3 linked regions of the Saccharomyces cerevisiae S288C genome follow. The protein of the gene in region 2 interacts with the protein of the main gene of each other region in a biochemical or structural test. Each region holds a gene or a part of one and is shown on either strand. Other genes may lie near its edges.

What was found. The genes of interacting proteins can lie anywhere in the genome.
Region 1: the proteins of ELA1 (region 2) and DSK2 form a complex in vitro, tested with the Saccharomyces cerevisiae proteins (one study listed by BioGRID).
Region 3: the proteins of ELA1 (region 2) and RAD26 form a complex in vitro, tested with the Saccharomyces cerevisiae proteins (one study listed by BioGRID).

The regions. Positions count from the first base shown.
Region 1 is NC_001145.3:817,190-821,115, forward strand, and holds DSK2 (ubiquitin domain-containing protein DSK2), read left to right. Parts: upstream 1-1,637; coding exon 1,638-2,759; downstream 2,760-3,926. Other genes in the region: ubiquitin-ubiquitin ligase BUL1, read right to left, coding at 1-1,392; FCP1 (protein serine/threonine phosphatase), read left to right, coding at 3,067-3,926. UniProt on the Saccharomyces cerevisiae protein: Involved, with RAD23 in spindle pole body duplication. Involved in the ubiquitin-proteasome proteolytic pathway.
Region 2 is NC_001146.8:215,688-220,208, reverse strand, and holds ELA1 (elongin A), read left to right. Parts: upstream 1-1,546; coding exon 1,547-2,686; downstream 2,687-4,521. Other genes in the region: URE2 (glutathione peroxidase), read left to right, coding at 8-1,072; PDR16 (phosphatidylinositol transporter), read left to right, coding at 3,167-4,222; exosome non-catalytic core subunit CSL4, read right to left, coding at 4,408-4,521.
Region 3 is NC_001142.9:495,463-501,779, reverse strand, and holds RAD26 (DNA-dependent ATPase RAD26), read right to left. Parts: upstream 4,426-6,317; coding exon 1,168-4,425; downstream 1-1,167. Other genes in the region: putative E3 ubiquitin-protein ligase HUL4, read left to right, coding at 1-1,067; PET191 (Pet191p), read right to left, coding at 4,771-5,097; RAV1 (Rav1p), read left to right, coding at 5,329-6,317. UniProt on the Saccharomyces cerevisiae protein: May be involved in the preferential repair of active genes.

The DNA.
Region 1 (3,926 bases), on a different chromosome or scaffold from region 2:
TTTACCGACAATCCTTGCATCAATAGTGTAATTGATCGAAAGGTTGTCATCAGACATATCGTTAGTTAAGATGGGGGAGCCCTTTGTACCTAAATGACCGCACCCAAGTACCCTATTGACTTTGATACCGGAATATTTGCAATTGTTCCTATATTTATCAATACCAAAACTGGGAGGTAACAAACAATGAGAGAAATGCTCCTGCTTACAAGTGACATCTAGCAATTGCAGTGGCAATTTGAAAATGAAGAATTTCTTGTACTTGACTCCGGGTTCCAGAACCCGGCTATTGTTTAGCCCAAATACAGAACCATCGTAGTCAACATCTGCGGGAATGAAGTCCACACCGGACCCCAGTGCTATTTTCGAGTATGACCAAGAAGCGCTCAAGTCTACCATCCTTAAAAACCGTTTAATCGTTCTTTTACTCTTTACTTTATCAATAATGGAAATGTAAGACTCTAAAGTGACATAGAACATTTCAAACTTTAGGTTTGCTTGAGATTTGTTTTCAATAGTGATAAAACCATGAATCAAATCCCCCGACGTATACTCTTTCAAAATGGACTCCTCCTCCGGCTTCACGTGTGGTATAGGTGCATGCTTCGTCGTCTTGATGGTGATTTCGATGGGTGTGGACATTTTTGGTAAAGTGTACAATTTGTCGATGAAAATGTTGTCTGTATCGTTCAAGTCATCAAGTATGGGAGGTATATCCAGTGAATCTTCATCGACAGCGGTTGATTGATGTGCTGCAATACTGTGATGTTCGGTTCGAAGGGGAATTAAGTTTTCTAAATTTGATGTTGACGAAGAACGTGTGGCACCCAATGCGTCAGTGGACAATGATTGATGTGAGAGATCAGCGCTCGAGCCCGCAGCACCTGTTGCAGTAGAATTATTGGCCTCTTGGTATGAAGGTGGGAAATCATGCCTATCTGGATCGACGTTGCCCTGCGGAATGTGCCTATGCAGGGTATTGTACATCTCAAATGAGGGCAGTACATCAACAACATTGTTGATATCTCCGTCGGTCAAGGACCTTCCGGTCTCGACGGGGGTCGCATTTGCAGTTGATCTTCTCAAAGGAGAACGATTACCTCCAGCAGGCGTTCCGGTGGAAGGAGCATGCGAATGAGAATGTGCTAGTTCGGGACGTCTTAGTCCAAGGATCCCCGTAGCAGACGCGCTTCTTATCCATGATTTTGGAGAGTGTAACGACGGTGACCTCGAACTGCCTTTACCACCCTCTTGTTTCTGCCTACCACGCCCCCTTGTGTTTGCATTAACGTTCATAGTTGTCGAACTATTTGCGGTAAAATCAGATCGTTGAGGACGCAGCAAAGGCTTCCTCTTCGGTGGAAACCCCGAATCGTTCAAATCTTTGGCCATTTAGCGTACGATATACCTGTTGACACACACGAACAGTCTCTTTTCGCCCTTGCTAAGAGCTTCTTTCCATAATCACTATGCGGCTCTTCATTGCAATACTTTTATCATTATTAAAATAGCCTCTGAGAGCGGGTCACGGCCCGCTGAAGGGAAAGAACAATTTAAAGCCAGTTTTAAGTTCAATCCACCGATGGACGAGAGGCAAATAAGACGGATCAAAGACACCGAATCATTCTAGCACGATAATGTCGTTGAATATACATATCAAGTCAGGACAAGACAAGTGGGAAGTAAATGTGGCACCTGAAAGCACAGTGTTGCAATTCAAGGAGGCGATAAACAAAGCGAACGGTATCCCGGTGGCAAATCAGAGATTGATCTACTCGGGTAAGATTTTAAAGGACGACCAAACCGTGGAGTCATACCACATTCAAGACGGTCACAGCGTCCATCTGGTCAAGTCACAACCCAAACCACAAACCGCCAGTGCCGCTGGCGCAAATAACGCCACCGCCACCGGTGCAGCAGCTGGCACTGGCGCCACCCCGAACATGTCGTCAGGTCAAAGTGCAGGCTTCAATCCGCTGGCCGACTTGACCAGTGCCAGATACGCTGGATATTTGAATATGCCATCTGCAGACATGTTTGGCCCGGACGGTGGTGCATTAAACAACGACTCGAATAACCAAGACGAGCTGTTGAGGATGATGGAAAACCCCATCTTCCAATCGCAAATGAACGAGATGTTGAGTAACCCTCAGATGTTGGACTTTATGATCCAGTCCAACCCGCAATTGCAGGCCATGGGTCCACAAGCCAGGCAAATGCTACAAAGTCCCATGTTTAGACAGATGCTCACCAATCCTGATATGATTAGACAGAGCATGCAATTCGCAAGAATGATGGACCCTAATGCCGGTATGGGCTCTGCAGGTGGGGCTGCCTCTGCCTTCCCCGCTCCTGGTGGCGATGCTCCAGAGGAAGGCTCCAACACGAACACTACTTCCTCATCCAACACAGGGAACAACGCAGGGACTAATGCAGGTACCAACGCAGGCGCTAACACAGCTGCAAACCCATTTGCGTCTCTTCTGAACCCTGCATTAAACCCCTTTGCTAACGCGGGAAACGCTGCATCCACCGGGATGCCCGCCTTCGATCCTGCATTGCTAGCGTCTATGTTCCAACCCCCTGTACAAGCATCTCAAGCAGAAGACACCAGACCACCGGAAGAACGCTATGAACATCAATTAAGACAACTAAACGACATGGGCTTCTTCGATTTCGATAGAAACGTCGCAGCCCTCAGGAGAAGCGGTGGCTCCGTCCAAGGCGCTCTTGATTCACTACTGAACGGCGATGTTTAAATAAACGTCTAGATGCCGCAACCTATATACTTTTACCCTACTCTATCGGCATATATTTAATCTACGTATTACATGTATCCATCAATAATATCATCATAATATCTGGACACTTTTGGAAGACGCGCCCTTGCGAAAGAAAAAAAAAAATTTTCGTTTCACACCTACAGTAATAAACACATAATAACAACGAGCTAATCATCCCAATCAATCACCCCTTCCCCCTTTAATTAGCAGCCAGGGTACTGTATTTAGTCATATAGCGGTACTTGCATTGACCGCGAACGTGTAAACACAAGCAAAGCAGATTATGACCACACAAATAAGGTCTCCCCAAGGCTTGCCGTATCCGATTCAGATCGATAAACTCATTCCAAGCGTAGGTTCGTACCTTCATGAGGGTGATAGGTTGCTTGTCTATAAGTTCTGGTATTTGGTGGAAAGGGCCTCAGACACTGGTGACGATGATAACGAGCACGATGTTTCCCCCGGCGGCAGCGCCGGAAGTAATGGTGTCTCTCCGCCAACCAAACAACTGCGTGAATCCATAGAATTCTTCGAAAGTCCCTACGAGGGGGACTTGATTAGTTGGAATGTAGACGTAGGAGATGAAGTAGCCACTGCTAACCAAGTGATTTGCGAAATAAAAAGGCCATGTAACCATGACATCGTGTATGGCGGGCTATGTACTCAATGCGGGAAAGAAGTTTCTGCAGATGCCTTCGATGGTGTACCACTAGACGTTGTCGGGGACGTGGATTTACAGATTAGCGAGACAGAAGCCATTAGAACAGGCAAGGCATTGAAGGAGCATTTGCGACGGGATAAGAAACTTATCTTAGTGGTGGATTTAGATCAAACCATCATCCATTGTGGCGTGGACCCTACGATTGCAGAGTGGAAGAACGACCCCAATAATCCGAATTTTGAAACATTAAGAGACGTCAAGAGCTTTACGTTGGATGAGGAGTTAGTACTCCCACTTATGTACATGAATGACGATGGTTCTATGCTGAGACCGCCTCCCGTAAGAAAATGTTGGTACTACGTGAAGGTAAGGCCCGGTTTAAAGGAATTTTTCGCTAAAGTGGCGCCTCTTTTTGAAATGCATATCTACACAATGGCTACAAGGGCTTATGCCTTGCAAATTGCCAAAATCGTGGACCCTAC
Region 2 (4,521 bases):
ACACCAAATGATGAATAACAACGGCAACCAAGTGTCGAATCTCTCCAATGCGCTCCGTCAAGTAAACATAGGAAACAGGAACAGTAATACAACCACCGATCAAAGTAATATAAATTTTGAATTTTCAACAGGTGTAAATAATAATAATAATAACAATAGCAGTAGTAATAACAATAATGTTCAAAACAATAACAGCGGCCGCAATGGTAGCCAAAATAATGATAACGAGAATAATATCAAGAATACCTTAGAACAACATCGACAACAACAACAGGCATTTTCGGATATGAGTCACGTGGAGTATTCCAGAATTACAAAATTTTTTCAAGAACAACCACTGGAGGGATATACCCTTTTCTCTCACAGGTCTGCGCCTAATGGATTCAAAGTTGCTATAGTACTAAGTGAACTTGGATTTCATTATAACACAATCTTCCTAGATTTCAATCTTGGCGAACATAGGGCCCCCGAATTTGTGTCTGTGAACCCTAATGCAAGAGTTCCAGCTTTAATCGATCATGGTATGGACAACTTGTCTATTTGGGAATCAGGGGCGATTTTATTACATTTGGTAAATAAATATTACAAAGAGACTGGTAATCCATTACTCTGGTCCGATGATTTAGCTGACCAATCACAAATCAACGCATGGTTGTTCTTCCAAACGTCAGGGCATGCGCCAATGATTGGACAAGCTTTACATTTCAGATACTTCCATTCACAAAAGATAGCAAGTGCTGTAGAAAGATATACGGATGAGGTTAGAAGAGTTTACGGTGTAGTGGAGATGGCCTTGGCTGAACGTAGAGAAGCGCTGGTGATGGAATTAGACACGGAAAATGCGGCTGCATACTCAGCTGGTACAACACCAATGTCACAAAGTCGTTTCTTTGATTATCCCGTATGGCTTGTAGGAGATAAATTAACTATAGCAGATTTGGCCTTTGTCCCATGGAATAATGTCGTGGATAGAATTGGCATTAATATCAAAATTGAATTTCCAGAAGTTTACAAATGGACGAAGCATATGATGAGAAGACCCGCGGTCATCAAGGCATTGCGTGGTGAATGAAGGCTGCTTTAAAAACAAGAAAGAAAGAAGAAGGAGGAAAAGAAGGTTATAAGGGTATGTATATAGGCAGACAAAAAGGAAAATTAAGTGCAAATATAAACAAAAATGTCATAGAAGTATATAATAGTTTTGAAATTTCTGTTGCTTCTATTTATTCTTTGTTACCCCAACCACAGAATTCCAAAATTTTGTTTTATGTAATAATTGAAATACTATAAATTTCTCAACTATATTCGGGGTGTTGTCACTGTATATCTGGCGCTTTCAATAAAGCTGGTACAATTGCGTATTTTTCTCGGCATTTGCCACGATGGGCTTAAGAAAGATCACAATAGAAAATTTCAAATATTTAATATTTGCGAAGAAGGGATTTGTTCAGTTATGACGATTAGATACATATGTAACTTACATGCAAACGGTTTTTGTTCATGGAAATACGTTCTAGTGAATGTATAAATCGATTGATGTCGAGATATGAAAAGTTTACAAACACTATGTGAAATCTCATTGATGAGAAATCATTCAAACATACAATCTGTGAGTAATGTCCCCTATCACTTATTAAAGAGGATACTGCAGAAAGTAAAAATACCACAACTATTAAAACTTGAGAAAAGCAACGTACTATTGATATTTGACGATGATGAACTATGGTTAGAATTTTTAAGGCAAGATTTCCCGACTAATGTACACGAACAATTTGTCTCTAAGAGAGACATTATTTGCAAATATTACTTTGATTTCGTTAAGGAAAACGATATAGAACTGTACCATTCGAATCAGGATTTATTGAAGTCTTGCGTGCGTCAATCAGTCGTCAAAGACATCCGAAACAACAAGTACCGAATACCATACAGAATGTTATACTCAAAGTACCAACAAGAAGTGGAAAAGAAACAAGAGGAAAGCGCAGAGAGATTAAGGCTGGAAATGCAGAAGTTGCAGCAAGAAAGAGAAAAAAAGCAAACCATAGTGGTTGACCACACTGTTTACTTCAAAAAGAGAAACACCAAGAAGACTACAAGGTTGCACAACGAACCCCATTCGCAATTATACATGAAATCGTTGAAAGATCACGAGTCCAGACTAAAGCATTTCAAAGACGGCGGATTCAACATTGCAAAAAGGCATGCGCAACGTGTGGCCTTTGGTGGCCAAGCGGGCGGACAATCGTCTTCCCCCAAGAAAGGCCCATTGTCCATCAAACCGGAGCCTGTTAAGGTAAATCGTCAAATGGATAATGTCACAGCAGAGAAGAAAGATGTTACGCAGCCCATCACGCCGGTGAAGAAGAGAAGATCCGAATCACCGTCAATCTTTCTCAATCGTAAAAAACCTGCGCTATTCAGGCCTACTCCGAAGACAAACGCTGCAGGTTCTCGACCCCATACAACAGCGATCACCAACGATCACCGTACTACTTCTCATCCTTATCCCCACAAAGATGTTGTAACTTCAATATCAAGTGTCACCGCAAATCCCGTAACAAAGGGCCACAAGAAGAAGAAATCCGGAATTTTCGTACGAAATGCCGGATCTGACGGAGATAGTTTTCCGCACGTGACCGCAACCGGCCCTACTACCCGTCCGTATATCTATGAGCCACGGAAATAGCAGTAACCCAACTCCGAAGGCCGTCACATCCCCTGCGATTTCCCACGGGTCCAGTCATTCCGCGGAGAAAGAAAGCAACCGGAAGCAACGGCATCCCTGCTTATAAGCGATTTTCGCGTTGCGCGTCATCTTTTTGTCTTCCGTCTTAGTAATTTTTATGATTTTTTTCATTCCACCCGACTCTATTTGAGTGCAAGCATGCGATATATCTCTCTATATATTGCCAGATCTTTATCGCAATAGGTTCATGCACTATATGCGCATCCCACTCTTGTACATGCACAATATTGTGCTCATTGTCTGAATATATATATATTTATATATATATATGTATGTATATATATCAGTTCTAGATAGACTAATACCACTTCTTCGTTAGAAAAATATTTCAATCCTTATTTTGTTTCTAACTGTTCCCTTCTCTCCATCCAACAAATAATACAAAACCACTTTATATAAAAAAAATTACAAAAGCAAAAAATGTTCAAGAGATTTAGCAAAAAGAAGGAGGCTCCAGAAGACCCAAAAAATTTGATTAATATTGATAAGCCTATCAAAGAACTTCCTGCTTCGATAGCTATTCCAAAAGAAAAACCACTTACAGGTGAGCAACAAAAAATGTATGACGAAGTGCTAAAACATTTCAGTAACCCTGACTTGAAGGTTTATACAAGTGAAAAAAATAAGTCGGAGGATGATCTTAAACCCTTAGAGGAAGAAGAAAAGGCATGGTTGACAAGAGAATGTTTTTTACGTTACCTAAGGGCTACTAAATGGGTGCTAAAAGACTGTATCGATAGAATCACCATGACTCTAGCGTGGAGAAGAGAATTCGGTATTAGTCATTTAGGTGAAGAGCATGGTGATAAAATAACTGCTGACTTGGTGGCCGTCGAGAACGAATCAGGTAAGCAGGTGATTTTGGGTTACGAAAACGATGCTAGACCTATCTTATATTTGAAACCGGGCAGACAAAATACAAAGACTTCTCACAGACAGGTACAGCACTTGGTCTTCATGTTGGAAAGAGTTATCGATTTTATGCCAGCTGGTCAAGACTCTCTAGCTTTGCTAATAGACTTTAAAGATTACCCTGATGTTCCTAAAGTACCTGGCAATAGTAAAATCCCACCTATTGGTGTAGGGAAAGAAGTGCTGCATATTCTACAAACTCATTATCCAGAAAGACTAGGAAAAGCACTTTTGACGAATATTCCTTGGTTAGCATGGACTTTCTTGAAGTTAATTCACCCTTTTATTGACCCACTGACCCGTGAAAAGCTAGTTTTTGATGAACCATTTGTTAAATATGTCCCTAAGAACGAACTAGATTCGTTGTATGGTGGTGATCTGAAATTCAAGTACAATCATGATGTTTATTGGCCAGCTCTGGTGGAAACCGCGCGTGAAAAAAGAGATCATTATTTTAAGAGGTTTCAAAGCTTCGGTGGTATTGTAGGTTTAAGTGAGGTTGATTTAAGAGGTACTCATGAAAAACTTCTTTACCCAGTAAAATCGGAAAGCAGTACCGTGTAAAGGCAAATTTAGATAGATAATGATAATGCACTATAATATATAATAAATAAAAGAGAATAAAAAGTTTAATCACGTTCCCGCTTCTTTTTCCTAACCATCAAAGAATGCAATCTAAAGAAGAAGAAGCGAATACCCTCTTTTAAATATATACGCGTCTATATGCACTGTAGATAAGCTGTTACATATCAAAAAGGTTTGGCACATTTGCGCTTTTCTGTAGCGCCTGTAACCGGTGAAGTCATCATTTGCCAGTCTGTAGCATACATCAATCCACCAGCACCATTAGCAGCTCTGGCGAA
Region 3 (6,317 bases), on a different chromosome or scaffold from region 2:
TCAAGGAACATCAAGGCGATTTATTAAAATCGCTGAGAATAGAGTTTGTTAATGAACCTGGAATTGATGCGGGAGGGTTGAGAAAAGAATGGTTTTTCTTATTAACAAAATCGCTGTTTAATCCGATGAATGGCTTATTTATTTACATAAAAGAAAGCTCACGTTCATGGTTTGCCATTGACCCTCCAAATTTTGACAAATCAAAAGGAAAAAACTCACAACTGGAATTATATTACTTGTTTGGAGTTGTCATGGGGTTGGCGATTTTCAACAGTACCATATTAGATTTACAATTTCCAAAGGCGCTTTATAAAAAACTATGCTCAGAGCCTCTGAGTTTTGAAGATTACTCGGAATTGTTTCCGGAGACAAGTAGGAACTTAATAAAAATGCTCAATTACACAGAGGATAATTTCGAAGACGTCTTTTCTTTAACATTTGAGACTACGTATCGAAATAACAACTGGATTTTAAATGACAGTAAATCGAGCAAAGAGTATGTAACGGTAGAATTATGTGAAAATGGCAGAAATGTGCCAATAACCCAAAGTAACAAGCATGAGTTTGTCATGAAATGGGTAGAATTTTATCTGGAAAAGTCCATTGAGCCACAATACAATAAATTTGTTTCAGGTTTTAAAAGGGTCTTCGCAGAATGCAATTCTATAAAATTATTTAATTCTGAAGAGCTGGAGAGATTAGTGTGTGGTGATGAGGAACAAACTAAATTTGATTTCAAATCGTTAAGATCCGTGACAAAGTATGTAGGTGGCTTCTCCGATGATTCCAGAGCGGTTTGCTGGTTTTGGGAAATTATTGAAAGTTGGGACTATCCATTGCAGAAGAAATTATTACAATTCGTAACGGCATCTGATCGTATACCTGCAACGGGTATCTCTACTATCCCATTCAAAATTAGCTTGCTAGGGTCGCATGATAGTGATGATTTGCCATTGGCTCATACATGTTTTAATGAAATATGTTTATGGAATTATTCCTCGAAAAAAAAACTAGAACTGAAATTACTTTGGGCAATTAATGAATCTGAAGGTTACGGGTTCCGCTAAGAGTCTTCAGAATATACATATACACATAACACATACATATTTTTTATAGATATTTCTATGGGTAAAGTTACGTCAAGGGTACTCTGTCCATTCTAAGTTTTCATGAAGCATTGTTATTCCTAAATTCTTCATCAAGCACCCACCCTTTACGCTCTTTATCAAACTGTGCTATGGTTTTTAATAATGCTCTAACCTTAATAACGTCTTCTTTATCAGAAAGACTGACGCCAATGCTGTTAAGTATGCTAACACTAGATGAGAAAAAGTTATTCTGTTTCTGTAAATATGCCCGAATATTTTCTAGCGTTTTGGTATTGGAATTGATTTCCTTGGATCTTGCGAAGGTTATACCATCGTCGTAATTTTCTTGGCGAGCTTCCTTGGATGCCTCTTTTTGTGATTTTGTAATATTGCCTAAAATGGCAGCTGATCCAGTTAATTTATTTTTCAACGGATCTCTCTTTCTAATTTTACCTGCTTTACCAAACCTACCTGTCCAAGTAGGTGTCCCAATTTCATATTGCTTAGTGATCTTTTTTCTCGATTTCCTTAGCGCATTAACCGCCTCAATCGCTACTCTGGAAGCCTCTTTTGTAATTATATTCGAAGAAGAACTGCCCGCGTGCGAATTGACAACCGAATCATGACTCATAACGGTTTCTAAATTGCTCTCTCCTCCTAGCAACCCTTCGATTAATCTATCATCCTCTGTTTTACTATTCTCTTTTTTTTCCTTACCGTTATAAAAGCTTTCTAGTTTAGATACGCCAGATAGGTTGACCAGTTGTTCAAAATCGTCACTTTCCTCTGATTTGGAATTTTTTAAATTTTCGGTATGTTTTTGAACTTCTTCGTTCAATTCTTCTGTAGAATAACCGTTTTCACCCCCCAGTGAAAACAGATCATGGAGTTCGTGAATTTTGAAAAATCGTTTCTGCTTAGGATCAGTCAAAATCCTGTTGGTTAAGAATTGTTTGAATATTTGTCTATGATAAATCTTCTCCTCTATTGAACCTCCTACCATCAACCTATATATTGATACCTCTCTTTTCTGCCCAATCCTCCATGCCCTTTCTCGAGCTTGCATGTCAGTAGATGGGTTCCAGTCTGGATCAAAAATGATAATTCTATTAGCACCGGTTAAATTAACACCTAGCCCCCCAACTCTTGTGGTTAGTAAGAATACATCGAAAGATTCATTGTTAAACCGGTCAACTAACGACTGTCTCCCTTTGATATTAGTTGTCCCATCCATTCGTAGGTAGTTCAAATGTGATAAATCGGGATCTTTCGTTGATATAAACTCCTCTAGAATATCGAGCATTTGTCTCGATTGAGTGAAGAGTAGGGCTTTATAGCCCTGCTTATGCCACAGTAATAATAATTGCTTGACAACCTGCATTTTTCCGGATCTTTTAGGATCACCGTAATCTGGATTATGTCTCTTTGTATCTCTGTCAAGTAAATCGGGGTGATTACATATTTTCCTTAGAATGTCGATACCAAATAGAACATTTCTCTTACCGTTTTGTATTTGGTTTAAATCTGAAGAATGCAGAAACTCCAAATATTTGCTTCTTTGATATTTCGTAAGCTTACAAAAGAGAACCATTTCTTTCTTTTGTGGCAGATCTTTTGCAACATCAGCTTTCACACGACGTAACAGGTACGGTGAAATCAAGTCACGCAATGCAACAGCACATTTGTAGCCGGTCTGAACTTGTATGTTTGTTGCGTTTGCATAACCACCAATATTTATAGGTATGACAAACTGTTGTTGAAACACAGGTAGAGTTCCTAATTTACCAGGGAAAATGAAATCAAAAAGCGACCAAAGCTCGGTTAAATTATTCTGTATCGGTGTTCCTGAAAGAATGATCCTATTATGTGTCTTCAGTTTTTTGCAAGTCAATGAAATCTCCGAATCTGGGTTTCTAATCTTATGTCCCTCATCTAAAACAGCATACTGCCATTTAACTTTTAGTAGCTTATCTGAATGTATTCTTAACCCAACGTACGTGGTAATTAAAATGTGCCCATCAGTAACGACTTTATCTATCAACTTATCTAAATGATAGCTTGATTCCAATGCCTTCTTTGTCCTTGTTGAGTTCTTCCAATCCTCGTAAGAAAAATCACTTGGCTTTGAATTCATTATCAAGTTCTCTAGATCGTTTTCATCCATCTTAAATTTTTGGTCAGAAGCCATTCCTGAACCCATTGAGTGCAATATGACCGTCCTCAATGGAGGCCACCAATGCTGGAACTCATTACACCATTGCTTCATCACAGTTGCAGGACAGACAATTAATACAGGGCCTGTTAATAGACCTGAATGATGCAACGCTGCGATAAATGCGATAACTTGAATCGTTTTTCCCAGACCCATTTCGTCACCAATAATACCGCCACAGTTCTGCTGGTAAAGCTCATAGAGCCACTGAACGCACGTCTTTTGGTAATTAAATAACAGCGAGTATATTTCACCGGGTATTTTGAACTGGCTATTAAGTTTTGCGTCGGGAATATTCGGATGAGGTCTTCGCCATTCTGGCAAGTCCGATGACCTTTGACTACCGCAAGAACGTTGTTTCACCCATTTTTTTAACCTTTCTTGATAATACAACTCGTCCCCATCATCCTTCGCCTCACCAGGTTGGCCTCTGAACCGCAGGTCTTCCAGTTCTTTGAGAATTTTATCGTCATTTTCTTCTTCTTCGTCATCTTCACTCTCTTTACCACTCATTTGATAGTCTTGATCGCTGAGATTGTCATCCTCATCCGTTAAATTTTCTACCATTTGTTCTGTTGCCATTTCAAAATCCTCATCTTTTTGTTCGTCATTCTTGGCATACTCTCTGTTTGCAGTGTCCAAGCTGAAACCAGCCTTGTGTCCAAATGCAGTGATCTTACCAGTCCTGATTAAAAACTCCTTCTCAGTTTCACCGGGTCTCTGCAGCCCCTCTTTGGAACCTTTATTTTCAGCACCTTGATCTACCTGCTCTTTCAACTCTTTAATCCTTGATTGGATATCGTCTATGTCCTTCAGAACTCGTTCAATATCGTCTGATTGTAAGTTCTTGATCTGGTCTCGGAGATTCTGCTTAACAGATATCCTAGTGGTATTGTTCAACTTCCTTGTGAGATGATTCTTCTTATTGACATAACGTTGCAGAGCGGTCTTACTCCGTTCTAGACGAGTCTCTTCTTGCTGCAGCGATTGTAGGTTGCTAAAGTTAGTTACATCATTAGCTATTTTTTCCTCCAAACTGCTTTGGGAAAGCACGTTAACTCCCAGATCTTTTAGTGACTCATTGTTTTCAAGTTTCGCATTGTCTTGCTGCTCTTTATCTTCCATCACTGATGTATGTTTCTCTGAGCAATGTTATATATATATATATATATATATTATCAAACCTCTTCCCTTCTTTTTTTTTCTTCCACTTTTATTGCATCGCCCTTAACTGAAATGAAGCTAAGGTATAAATTTGTACTTAGACTGATTATAATTTCTACTTACGGAACTTGTTAAGTGCATTTTTATTGTTCTACCCTCTATTTTTTAAATGTAATGTTCTTGAATACGCTACATGCGTATATATATATATATATATTGTAAGAGGATTACTGGACAAACCGAATAAAAGAGCTTGACGCATATATTTATTTATGTATATATTTACAGGCCAATTTTCATAAATAATCAGTCCTTCTGCTGGCTGTTCAGAAGTTTTAGCTTTTCCATCTCCTCCCTCGGATCAAACTTTCCTTTGCACAAGTTTTCGTACTGTTGATCGTACTTGCCAGTCGACAGAGGTGCGTTACCTGTGAACCGCTTAGTCATGTCGACGATTCCTCGCTTACAATCCAAAAATGCTTTCATCTGAGCAATACAAAGTTCGGGCAGATCCTTATTCAGCTCTGGATTGTCAAGACATTCTTGAGGGTTATGTCTCTCTATCATGACACAGGGCGATCTCTGCAAACATATAGCGACAGCCTTCTTCTGATCTTTACAACTAGCTACCATTCTTTGATATCTACAAACGCACTGCAAATTTATTTGTGTCTATTCTGTTCCGATTAATTGTTATGGCAGCCTTTTAATATACTATCCCTCTTTCTTTAAAGCTGCCCGCATAGCGAAACCTCGTTATGTTATTGTTTCAAGCACTTCAGTTTTTTTAATAATTAAAGGGATCTAAGAACACCGCAAACAATTGAGAAAGTAAACAAACGTGCACACGCAAAGGTAGTTCTCATGTCATTGAACTTTCTTCCAGGACGCCCCAATGCTACCCCTCAGACAGCTTGTCAAGCAACATGGCAAAATCATACCATCTTTGCATATTGTTCAGGGAATAATTTAATCATACTTACCAACAAATTCACTAGGTTACAGACCATATATACACAATCAGACTGTACTGCGGTCGATATTAACAGCCAGAATGGATTCATTGCCCTTTCCTTCCACAATAGGGTGCTCATCTACAAGCCCATTCATCAAATTATGCAGAATCCCAAGTGGACCCAATGTTGCCAGTTGTTCCATGATGACACGCCAGTAAACTGCCTAAGATGGTCTTCTGATAATGAGTTAGCCATTGGATCTGATTTTCTTTCTTTTTGGAAAATTAAGGATAATTTTGGTGTGTATCAACCTATTTTGCAGTGGAACCAAAAACAGCCTAAACCTGTTTATAATGTGATTATATCACAAGATTCGCAGCTGATAGTCAGTATTGGGAAGTACGACTGTAATGCTAAACTATGGAAGCGTGTTTCAATAGTCGGAGAACAAGCCATCTTTAACCTTACTATGTTGCCTCATCCGAAACCTATAACTGCAATGCGGTGGAAAAAAGAGCCAGACCAGGTGAGTAAAAACAACACTGCCTCTCATGCTCTTTATACGCTGTGTGAAGATAAAGTTCTGAGAATATGGTCTTGTTTTGAAATGGAGAAAAACCATACTGTGCAAATATGGGGTGAAGTGCCTCTTTCCCCCACGCAGAAGTTCTGCGTGATAATAGACAATTGGATCATTAGGCAAACTCTCAGTGTGAAAGACTCGGAAATCTTTGATATATCTGACTCAGACATTGTTATTCTGGGTTCAATGACTGGGGAAATGGAAGTTTTGGCTTTGAATAATCTTTCCCAAGATCCTCCAAAACCAATGACTAAAAAGACCATTTCCCATAAAAAAGTCAAGAAAGCAACTATGCTAAACGATACAAGATATTT